2 linked regions of the Oryzias latipes genome follow. The protein of the gene in region 1 interacts with the protein of each later gene in a biochemical or structural test. Links are inferred from orthologs where the notes say so. Each region holds a gene or a part of one and is shown on either strand. Other genes may lie near its edges.

Region 1 (6,930 bases):
TCGGACATGACCTTCCAAAACGGTGGAGAAAAGTAAGTAATAATAATGGTATAATGGCTGATAAATGTTTTAACTCACGTAATCGTATTGGTTATTTAGTTGTTTTGCTAACACACATCTTTAGTGCGTTCTGCATTTTCCGGTTTATTATGTCAGTTTAAAAACTGCTGTCAATCTGTTACAGCAGGTCAGGTAGTCTGACTTTAAAACAATGAGTGTGTCTTAAAATCTTGTATTAACATAAATATGGAGAATAAAAACTGCCAAATACAAATAGGAAATAAATGTTCTCATTTATAAATGAAAAACAAAATAAATGTACTAATTTTAAAATCATGAGCATACAAAATAATAAATAAAGATGTGTATAAATGCTTATATTTCCACTTATACTAAAATTATTGTTCACATTTATTATTTATAAATGGGTAGATTTATTTCTCATTTGTATTTTGCAGTTTTGGTTTTACATAATGATGATGTTTTGCACAGTTCCGTCTCAGCCGACAGTTCCTTCTGCTCTCAAAAAGTAGCAAAAAGTATTGGAGGTGGTGCAGCGTCCACATCCCAAGATGTTCCTGACATCACTGAAGAGATCTCAGGTAATTTTAATAGCATGTAAAGTAATTAAAAAAACAGTGTCTGTACAACCCCTTTTTTCATAAAAAGCAGCTAAAGAGAATGGAGCCCCAAATTGTTTATAATTAAATAAATAAATATGGTCTTGTGCAAATACACAATCAACCAATAAATCTCTCATGAATATATAAAAAGATCATGAAATTGTGAAAAACCTGCACACAGATTTTAAATGAGCCACTAAACTATTAGTGTCAGGTACTGGGGCCAGGGCGGTTTGGTTAGGCTTTTGTTTTTGCACTTCCGGGCTTTCTGGGCTTTATTTTGGCGATTCCGCTGTTCGTGCCGTTCCCGTTCTCGCTGTCTTTACGTTCTGTCATTATTTACACCTGTGGCAAATTACATTGAAACAACTTTAACCATGATCCACATTGGTCTCACTGTTTCCCGGCAATCTATATGTCATAAGCACTTACCTTATACCTTCTTGGATGTTTTCTTACCAGTTACCGCTCTGCAGCATGCTTCCACCAGACCTATAAAGCAAGTATAGTGTTGAGCCTGACTTTGATGCAGGCATTTAAAATTGGTCAACAAAATACAAAGTTTGAATGGTGAGCTATCCTGAGGACAGCAAAGTGCAGGACTTGCATAATTTCTCTTGTTGCTTTGCCCCGCCCTCGTAATTTCTAAACAATGAGTGAAGAGATTTTGATTCAAGTGGTTTTTTGTACTTTTGGTTCGAATCAGGAAAGCCGCTTGATGGCAGTCTGAATACAGACCAAATCCAAGGTTCAGGATTCGATCCGGACCAGATTAGGCAGACTGGGTCCCAAACAAATGCTTTTCCCAGTCTGAATACACCCTGAAACTCTACTTATTGCACCTGAACAGAAAATCCCTTTCATTAAACACTGTGGTTTTTCATGCTTCACCTCCCAACCAAAACTCAGAAACCTCTGTTCTCTTTGACCAGTCTACGTCTCTTGACGCGCAGAAACGTTGGCTGAAAATAGTTCATTTCATCTATGATCAACCTCCAAACTTAGGTCTATTCGGTCTAATGGAGGTCCGTTTTATCACAACCTTTCATTCTAAAACATGCTTAACCCTTGTGCTATCTTAGATGACCCCCCCCTTCCATTGACGTGTTCTCCCTACCATGACAAAGGTGGATAAAGGTGGAAAGATTTCATGTAATCCATGGACACCAGTGAAGATCACAAATCATTGAAGAAAAAAGGTTCAGAGCACTGTCTAGTGGGTCTAGATGACCCAACTCCCAATCTTAAAGTGCCTAGGATAGCACAAGGGTTACATTTGCACTGTTTAAACTCAAGTGAAGCACTGATTCTATTTAATCCAGAAAGTGTCAGTCAAAGATGTGAGCTTGGAGATGAGTGGTTTGGGTGTGTGAAGGTTTCAGGCAACAAATGGTGGCCAGCTTTCCTAGTTCATGTTTTTATTGTGTCGTCAACACAAAAATGAATACATTATCCTGGGTGCAGACAGCTGACATGAAAACAATCGGTTTGGAATGATCCGTGAACACAGCACAAGGATGATCTATGGCTTACCGAGGATGAGACTGAATGTATTTACAAACTCAAATCGACTCACTGGAAGTTTGAAAAATTGGAGCAGGTTTTTTTTTTTCTCTTTATAAATATAAAAAGGGGGAAGGAAGAGAGGCCATTATGGGCCTAATGGGGGGATAAAGTCTCTTTTATCGAGACAGCTTAACACTCAACAGAGTTATACACATCCCATTTTCTGTTATGGCACCAGTTACAACGCACGGCCTGGACACGCTGGTTTCCATCGCAGATGCTTCACCTACAAAAGGTCAAAGCTGGCAAGCACTGAACCAGCGAGCACAATGAAACACGCACACACACACACACACACACACACAACTAAAAATCAGAGATCATGACTGTCACATGAGGTATTGTGAATCAAAGCATTACTGTACATTGTCAATTCGTCCTTGTATTTGGAATAGTTTGGAAAAAAAAAAAAATCACATTAGATAATTACAACCAAAAGATCACATAGTCTACACAGAACAAATGGTGACATCAACAACTTCCTATTAGAAAATTCAGACCTAGAATGGCAGTACATTTATACATATAAAAAATAGCAGCAAACAACAGAAAAAAAAGCATTGTTTTCATTTCATATCTGTTTTTTGTATTTTTATTTTTGTCTTTAAACACAAAGCTCAAATGTATCTTCTATAGCAGCAAAATACAAGGAGTGTTTCTCTCCTACGTTCTATCCTTACTGTAGAATCAGAAACCTACTTTAAAAGGATCCTACACTCAGACTCCGCCTCATTCCTTATAAAGTGAATGTCCATCTGAGCAGAAATGCCTCCTCTTTATGGGACGAAGCCCCAACCACTCTAAAGCAGTTTCTGATGAGCCTTTCTCCTCTTTGTTTCATTTTTGACACTTCAAACTGTTGCCCACTATACTCTCCACCAGTTTTTGAGGCAAGTCCAAGAGAAGCCCCGCCCACGTCCTTAAGGTTTGTGCAAAAATCATCTCATATTCTCATCGCTCCCCTTTCTTCAACTTGATCCATTTTTCATAATCCATGAGCAGTATTTGAAGTGAGGAGGAGTATGGAGGGATGCCGTCCTGGTGGTTCAGGTCAACTCAAGCTTACGGTTTTACAGCATTTCATTGGCAAACATCTGCACAAGTGGGCGGAGCCACAATTGAAAGTTGTAAAAATAAATAGGTTTTACGATATGGAATATAAAGCATTACTTTAGCTATAAAAATAATCCTTTTACCTCCTCAGATTTAGCCTTTGGCTCTACATGCTTGCAGTTGTAGTGAACCTGTGAAAAGCTCAGGGCGGCTCTGCCTGAACTAACACTGCACAAGTGAAACTAGCAGGACAGGAAGGCTGCTATGACGGGCCTTTCCCAGACATAAAAACAAGTCTATCTGCAACACTGGTCAATTCTTTGTCCCATCTGATGAATCTGAACCAGCTGCTCGACCACTGCATCACCAACCTCGGGTTCCATTGCAAACTCTACCACCACGATTTTTCTTTCAGTTGAGCCAGCACGGCTGACCAAAAGTGCTTCTTTCTTGAAAACAATACATTGGAATGGTATTAGATCTAACTACACAAAAGAAGAAACCATCAGAGTCTGGACAGCTCTGCTCGCATTAGCACTGACTTGATTTGATCAATTGCTGCAAGCGGAAACGGGTCAAATGAATCATCAAGAAAGACTAGCGTTTGTCCACACCAGCAGCAGACAAAAACACAACTTCACTCACAGACGGGTTTTAAAAACTACCCAAAAGCTTAGAACAAAAGAGGTATAAGGCTAAATAATATAATAAAGTGACTAAACATAAACAAGCATGGGGTAAATGGATGCCTGAACTACAAGACAAACACGGGGACTTAGAAAAAGCCTAACTCATTCTAAACAAAAGAAACTGGTTCAAAACAGCATCTTTGCTTTGATAAATGTTGGGTTTCAGGTGGACAGACTGTGAAGGCCTACTGAACACCACACTTTGGGATCCTTAAGTAGTCATCATCAGTCCACAGCAATTTAAAAGATTCCTAGTTTGAAATGGAGGATAAGAACCAAAAGAATCAGTTTGTGTGGCTCTGACTCCTGCCCACACGGGTCACCGGTGCGCGTTTCTCACTTGTCCATGTCTAGTGTTCTGGTCTATGTCCAGGATTGGAGGGGACACTGGCAAGGAATGTGGTGGGAGGTGCGCTGCATGGCAAGAAGGGTGCGCCACCTTGCCTTGGCAGTCGTGGTGGACAAGTGAGTGACATCCGTTGAAGCAGCTGCGCACCAGGCAACCGAGGAAGAGAGGAGGGGAGGCAGTAATCAGGCCCCCCCTTCTTTGCTTGCCCATCTTCTAACAACAGAGTTCTCCCAACACTGGGATTAGGACATGCTGGTGACCATCTCAAATGTTGATGTCCCGCACGTCTGTTGGCGTGCAGGACAGGTCCACCTCTTCATCCACACGCTTGGCTTCCGTCACGCTGCCATGCTGCTGCGCCTGCCGCAGGCTGGACTCCAGCAGAGACTCAATCTGCTCCTGACACGACCGCAAACAGTCCTGCAAACAAACAACTGGTCAGAAAAAAACGTGCTGCCACTGCGCAACAGCAAAGACACGAGCCCTCTTCAGGGTTAGAGGTTAGACAGTGCGAGGGGTTTTCCATACCGGGTCACTGCGGATGACCTGAGACAGGAAGTTAGTCAGGTTCTGAGAGGACAAGGAGGCATCTTGGCTTTTCAAGTAGAGTCCTTGAACAGCTGCCACCACACTGCCGGCTGCCACCATTGATGGAGGACTGGCTATAAAGTTCACATCTGTAGAGGCAGAAGAACGTTCACATTTGGTTCGGGTATCTGCAAGCCGTTTTCCGTCACATCGTATGTTTGCACGTTTGTTTCTGTTCTTTCAGCATCACCATCCTATGCTGTGGGTTCGAATACCAAAGACCTGACCGGAACAGCAAGTTAACCGTGACGCAAAAACTGCTGACCACTACAGGGAGGAGGAGTTCCTCCAGTTTGATCAATGTATTTTCTAAGCTGACTCAAATCAATTTGGTTTGCAGCCACATTGTCAGGACTCTGAAAGGAAGCCGTCCATCCGTTCTACCATTTATCAGGACTTGGGTAATGGTTTGATTTGAAATATTTTTGGAATATTGTATTACTTATGAGACAGACATATATATAGAGGTCAAAGTTTCATAAGTTACATTAATAATAAACAGAAAACGACCATGCCTGATTGCCTTTAAAAACTTTTGAAAAAGCCCAGACCCCAGTTGTTAAAGCGTGGAAACTGTGAATGAAATGCGACTGATGTGTTTGTGTGAGGTCAGGTTTGACTGACTGGGGCTTGCTGACCAAAAGATGACTTCCTAAATAGCTCACTGGTACTTCCCACCGCTGTTTGACGGCATGGTGGTTTGCAACTATTAGGGCTAATTCAATCTTAACCAGTTAAATATCTATAAATGTGATTGGTGTTTTAATAAACTGCAACAACCCAGAAACCAATAGACATGTAACAAAGAGCTAGTACCTGTAGCGCAGAGAGCCACAAAGGTCTGGGCGTGTTTCCTGAGGATCTGCTTTGTCGATGCGTGGATTGTCAGCTTGGACAGGAAGTGCTCGATGAAGTCATGAGGTGTGACAGAAGCCAGATCCCATTTCAGCTTGCTGAGAACCAGCAGCTCCATTTGCTGTGGAAGGACCAGAGAAGACGCAATGCTTCATTTTGTGGTTGACAAACATTTGTTTTTCTTTATGTAATTTTCCATCAAATGCCATCAATGATAGTTTCTAAATTGACAGGGCTGACCCAGCAGTCAATATTGAATCCTTCTTATGCATAAATAGGCTGTAATGTTCTACCTAAACAAAGTGAATGACAGAACAAGACATTTTCTTTTTTTCTAGCATACATCTTTCTACTGTCTGCACATCTGTCTGACGGCCACTAGGTGTCACTGCAAATTAGCAGACGCCACCAAAGACCATTGATGAAATCAGAGGCCTTCCAGTCTCCATGGGAAAGTGCAGGCAGTCATTCAAACGCTGCAGCAGACTTCCATGCACATTTCAACCACAACGTACATCAGTAGCATGACTGCATGCTTGACATGTTGCAGCCTCGGCGCACCAGCAACCCAGACCGAGCCCTGCCTCCAGCCAACGCGGCCTTCAGGCATTCTGGTCATGTTCTCCCATTGTTACGCAACATCATGTCTGCAAGAACTTAATTACCAGCAGTTCTCCAGGTTGGACCGAGTTGTCTGTGTAGATACAGAGTTTCTCTGCAGTCAATGGTACCGTCTCCTTCATCTTAGATGCCAGAAACATGCATGTAGCTCCAAGCAGCTGGAGTCTGCTTTTCCTGGTGGGCTCCACTGATAAAAATCTGTCCAAATAGTTCATTGCCAACGGAAAAACCTCCTCCTCGCATTTCTGTTCCTCACAGACCTAAAAGAAAAAGAAAATAAAGTGTTTTAGAGGCCGACACTGGCATGGAGACATTTCTTTCTGTTCAAATGGAACAATGATTTCACTTTCTGTAAGCAGTCTGTCTTCCATCCTGCACACTATGATCCTCTCCAACTAATTTAGAAAAACTAAAGCATCTTTCATTTTTCGGCTTTTAAAATACGTGGAAAAAAATTGTTAAAACCTACAGACCAACTCTCAAGAAAAGGCTGGAAAAGCAGGTGAAAGCTGCAGCGGGAATGAGTTTACAGTCAGTTCTGACGGAGACACAAAGGTGGCGTCGACGCAACTTTCACTCCAATTTC
Region 2 (4,563 bases), on another chromosome or scaffold:
AAACCTTAGGTTTAGCTGATATCAGACATCCTGATCAGTTTATAGAATAATTAAACTCCAAAGACTAACAATTCCCTTTTACTGCCAAACTACATAAGGTACAGTAGTAACAATATTTGTGTTATTTTTTAAATTTGGTGAGACAACAACATGAAATTCGTTTTTCTTCTTCTAAAGACTGGAAAATGGTGTTTGTGTGCCTCAAACCAGCCACTACAAATTCATCTATTCCTCTATCTTTCTGTTACATGTGGGATCAAACCAGAGCTACTAACCATGACGCTATCACGGCTGGTTTATTGGCAGCCTTGTTAATCCTGTGCAATTTTTTGGAAATTTATGTGTGTATATTGTGTATATATTGACTCCATAGTTTTTCTTTTTTTCTTTATATATCGCTCTCTGTACCTGTACTGCTGCTGCAACAAGTACATTTCCCCATCGTGGGACTAATAAAGGAATATCTTATCTTTGATAGCTTTACATTAAGCTATGAAATGTTATAACTACATGCCTGTATGTATTCAATAGGATTAGAACACCAAAGCTTTTTAAAAAAAAACTATTTTTCTTAATTGTTTACATTTTTGCTTCGACACGTTTTTCATTCCATTACAACTTTATCAAATGAATTGAACAAGTTCAGGCTGGGAAAATTGCTAATGTGCTACAAGGCATGAATGCATGTGTGTGCATGAATGCAAAGAAGATCAAAAGACCTTATCATAAAGGCTTACATTAAAAAAAAAGCACCAAGTGTCTAGTGCTGCCCACATTTATTGTTTCGTTGCTTCTTAATTTGAGCTCTTCCCAAGTTTCCCTTCTGCCTCCCTCTGTATATTATCAAGTCATCAGATACCAGAGCTCAACAGTTGAACATCAAAGTACCGACAGTGTGAGGGGAGGCCTATCTGTCTCCTCTTGTCTGCTCCATCCCGCTCTGTGACAGCCACTGAGGGGTTCCTGAGACACTACATGAAGGGGGGACTTGGCTCTCACTTTACACAGAGAAATCCTATCATTTGGCGCACTCCTCTTGAGATACCAACTGATGCCCCGTAAGTGCCCAGACAAAACACTGGATGCTTTTTATCCAATTCTCAGGAGAAGGGAGAAAAGTTCAAGCCATGTGTTTTGTGCATTAGTTAAAAATGGGGAAAACAGTTTTAGAACATATGAGAAAATGAAAGAAAAAGCTCTAGAATAAGCTGGGAGGTTTTCAGGAGATGCTTAGTGGACAGGTGCCATGACACTTAGTTGGCCAAAGCTCCACATGGCATCAGGGTCAGGGAATAGTTCCCCATCAAAGACAGAGAGGCTAAACTCTGTGCCAATAGGGTTTGATAGGCACTAACTCACCACAGATGTCAGAGCCATCTGGAAGCTGTAGATGCGAGCTAGCCCAAAGTCCGCCAGTTTGATCTGTCCTCCGCTAGTGACCAGGATGTTTTGGGGCTTCAGGTCACGGTGAACCACACGGTGCGAGTGCAGGAAGTCCAGTCCCTGGAGCAGCTGGTACATCATATCCTAAAAAAAAAACAGGTTTTAAGAAAGAAATTACAAACTGAATTTTTTAACTTGGTGTGTTTGACCTGATGAATATGATTCAGTAAAACTAACAACTTCAATTAATGCATCTGCACAGAAAGTTACCAAACAAAAAGTAACAACATACAAATGCAACAAGACATTGAAGTATTGAGGGAGTCAACAAGAAGAAGCCTATCTCTTTTCTTGTCGACTGTGGCAGATGTTTGATAACTGACTATAACACACACACACACATACACACACAAATGACAGCGGCAGAGTTAGGCCCCTGCTTTGTGCGAGAACAGATCTGTGTTGGCGAGCAGCTGTCCTGCTATAGTTAACTGTTTCTTGCTTGCTTTTCAGGCCCGTCAGCAGTGACTTCAAGTAGCACTGCATCTACGACAAACTAGCAAACTATTGTGAGCAGGAAAAAGCTATTTCCAAACCAGCTTAGACTTGTTCTTTTGAAACTCAAACAGGTCTTACACCTGTAAACAAATAGTTCAAGGGATAGTGGTAAGGCAGTTTGTTACCTCAACTGTCATCCAGGCAACTTAATGCATCCAGTTCATGTTTTTGCATGTAAGAATTAGGTAGGGTAGGTAACATAGAGCAAGGAAAAACAATGGTAACTAAAATTACAAAGACACATGTTTTTTTTTAAGGAAACACATATCTTAAACAAACAGCTCCAAAACAGTCTATCAAGACCCCACAAGTGAAGAGGACCAGAGTCCACAGCTCTATTAAGTGGCCAACCAGCTGGTGTGCGAGTCAATGAGGCCTGTGAATTCAAGCAGAAAACATTAGCAAATGGCGTGGGGCCTGGTTGTGTGCTAGCCATAGAAAAGACTCCCCACACGGTTTTGTGGGGATGATGAGCGATGTGGCACAAACGCTCTGTACATTTGGTTATAAAGTAAAACGGGTATATTTGCGTACATGTGTACCCCTGCGTAAGGGTGCATCACTGAGTGAAAGCATGCAAAAGCATGTGGGTGCCCTCTGACCATAGGCAGGATGCATAAACAGTCCTTCCTTTCTACATCTCCATTCAGCCATGACCTATGAAGAATGGCAGCAGACACACAGGGCCATAGGACAGAGGCAGGCAGTTAGCCATTTTTGTGTGTGTTTGTGTGTGTGTAGCATGGGGGGGGCTGACACAATAGTATTCCTCCACCCATCAGTTCCTCTCAGCTTTAAATAGTCATTTCACCATGTTTCCTTTCAACAGCATTTCCTAGTAAACACTAATTATCTCACGTGTGACTCTTGGACACAAACAATCTTGGCCTTCTTAGCCTTTTCTATAGCATCAATTACAAACACGAAAAGTCATAAACATTTCAGCATTTTTCCAGAACTAAGCTCAACAAAGGCAATTGAGGCAGTGTCTAATAAATAGATAGAAATGGCAAGATTTACAGTATGTGAGTACAAGGTTGCCTATATGATTTGCACGAGTCAAAAGTTCCAAATTGAAGTTGGAAGGTTTTTTTTCCAAAGGTGCTTTAAACAACTTGTGGAGAAAAGAAAAACCAAACAAAAAGGCAACATATCTAACCCTGAAAAAATGGGAGAAAACAGACTGACTACAAGAGGCAGTCAAAACATGGCTTTCTGAGCTCAGCTCCTTTTTTGATGCTAATGTACCAGAGGCAGCCATATTGTTTATTGTAGTATGGAACAATATAGGACATCTGCCGGTTAGCGTTAGTGTAATTCCCTCCCCATGCTTCATTAACCTCCCCCCTTCGTGGGCCCACGGAGTGGAGCTGTGGAAGTATGGAGGATAGTGGTGAATAGTGGTGGAGGAGGAACCCAAGCACTGGCCCGCCTGAGTAGCACTAAGACTGGGGCAAGCAGGCTGCTTGATGTCCTTCCAGCTCATTTGATCCCTGGAGGGGGGCTTCTTTCATCAATGACCATGTGGTGGGTCTTGAATCAGAGTGGGTGGTGAAGGGTGGAGGGTTGAAGTATTTATCATGGGTAAGGGTTCAGATGGGCCACGGTGGGGTGTCTGTCACTGGTTGGTTTTAGTATGGACAGCAGGTCTTTGGGCGGTAAGGTAATTTAGCTGAGGGTGAATCGTTTTATGGTTCTTATGGGGTTTGGGATGAAGACAATGTTGATGCCTTTTTCAGATGAGCGATGGTTTAAGTTAGACCTGCTGTCATAAAGGTGGAGCTGAGAGCACAGACAGTTGCTCGGGGATAATGGGGTCACACTTGGGTCACTGTGTGTCCTAGAAATAACAGGGAAAGGTGCCTATGATGTGTTGTCACTGCTTGTCCTTTTGTCCCCTTGAGGCTCCAGCTGGTCGGATGTTAAGAGAAAGCCTAAGGAGGAGGGGTGGTCTAATGGGGCATCATGATTGAAAGAGGAGCTTATCCAACTGTTAAACAGTGCTGAAAGCCTCATGTCTCAAACTTGGCTAAAGTTGGGAAGAATTCTATTAACCCTTCAAATCTGACATAGATAAACCGTGACAATTTAACTATCTTCTTCCTTCTTTTTTTCTCGAGATTTTGTTCCAATGATTAGACAATAATTTTTAAACACAGTTTCATAGAATCTAAAACTTTCATCAAGCAAGAAACAGGATAACCATTAGACAGATACTGTAGCGTCCCCAACACTAAAAAATTTTAATGGTAACGAGTTGCTGCCAAAAATAGTTCCACGATGAATTGGATATTGCTTCAAATCAGTAGGGATGCACAATGTCGGTTTTAGGCTTTTAGAGTCCCACTTCGATCATGCAGATGTATCGAAATGGAGCGGAGCAGACCTCTTTTTGTAGTTTTTAGTAAAGAACTACAAACAGCGTTTTTTCATTTGCTCCTGATTCACCACAATTTAAATATAGAAATACTCAGAAATTATTTCAGTATTAATTTTCTTTATCTCCTCCATCATGAGAAAAATGTTACAAAAACATGTTAAAAACACGCAAAACACATTTTTAACGGAAGTGGGTCTTTAAGGAAACATGACAAGTGACATTGAAAGTGCAAGCAATTTCAA

Evidence for each region.
Region 2: the proteins of ccnd1 (region 1) and cdk6 form a complex in vitro, tested with the Homo sapiens proteins (3 studies listed by BioGRID and IntAct, with this or other methods). The link is inferred for Oryzias latipes from reciprocal best matches to the Homo sapiens genes CCND1 and CDK6.

What each region holds. Positions count from the first base shown.
Region 1 is NC_019861.2:4,924,504-4,931,433, forward strand, and holds the end of ccnd1 (G1/S-specific cyclin-D1), read right to left. Parts: intron 6,605-6,930; coding exon 6,389-6,604; intron 5,845-6,388; coding exon 5,685-5,844; intron 4,958-5,684; coding exon 4,809-4,957; intron 4,701-4,808; coding exon 4,545-4,700; 3' UTR 2,025-4,544; downstream 1-2,024. UniProt on the Homo sapiens protein: Regulatory component of the cyclin D1-CDK4 (DC) complex that phosphorylates and inhibits members of the retinoblastoma (RB) protein family including RB1 and regulates the cell-cycle during G(1)/S transition.
Region 2 is NC_019869.2:9,946,157-9,950,719, forward strand, and holds part of cdk6 (cyclin-dependent kinase 6), read right to left. Parts: intron 1,528-4,563; coding exon 1,360-1,527; intron 1-1,359. UniProt on the Homo sapiens protein: Serine/threonine-protein kinase involved in the control of the cell cycle and differentiation; promotes G1/S transition. Phosphorylates pRB/RB1 and NPM1.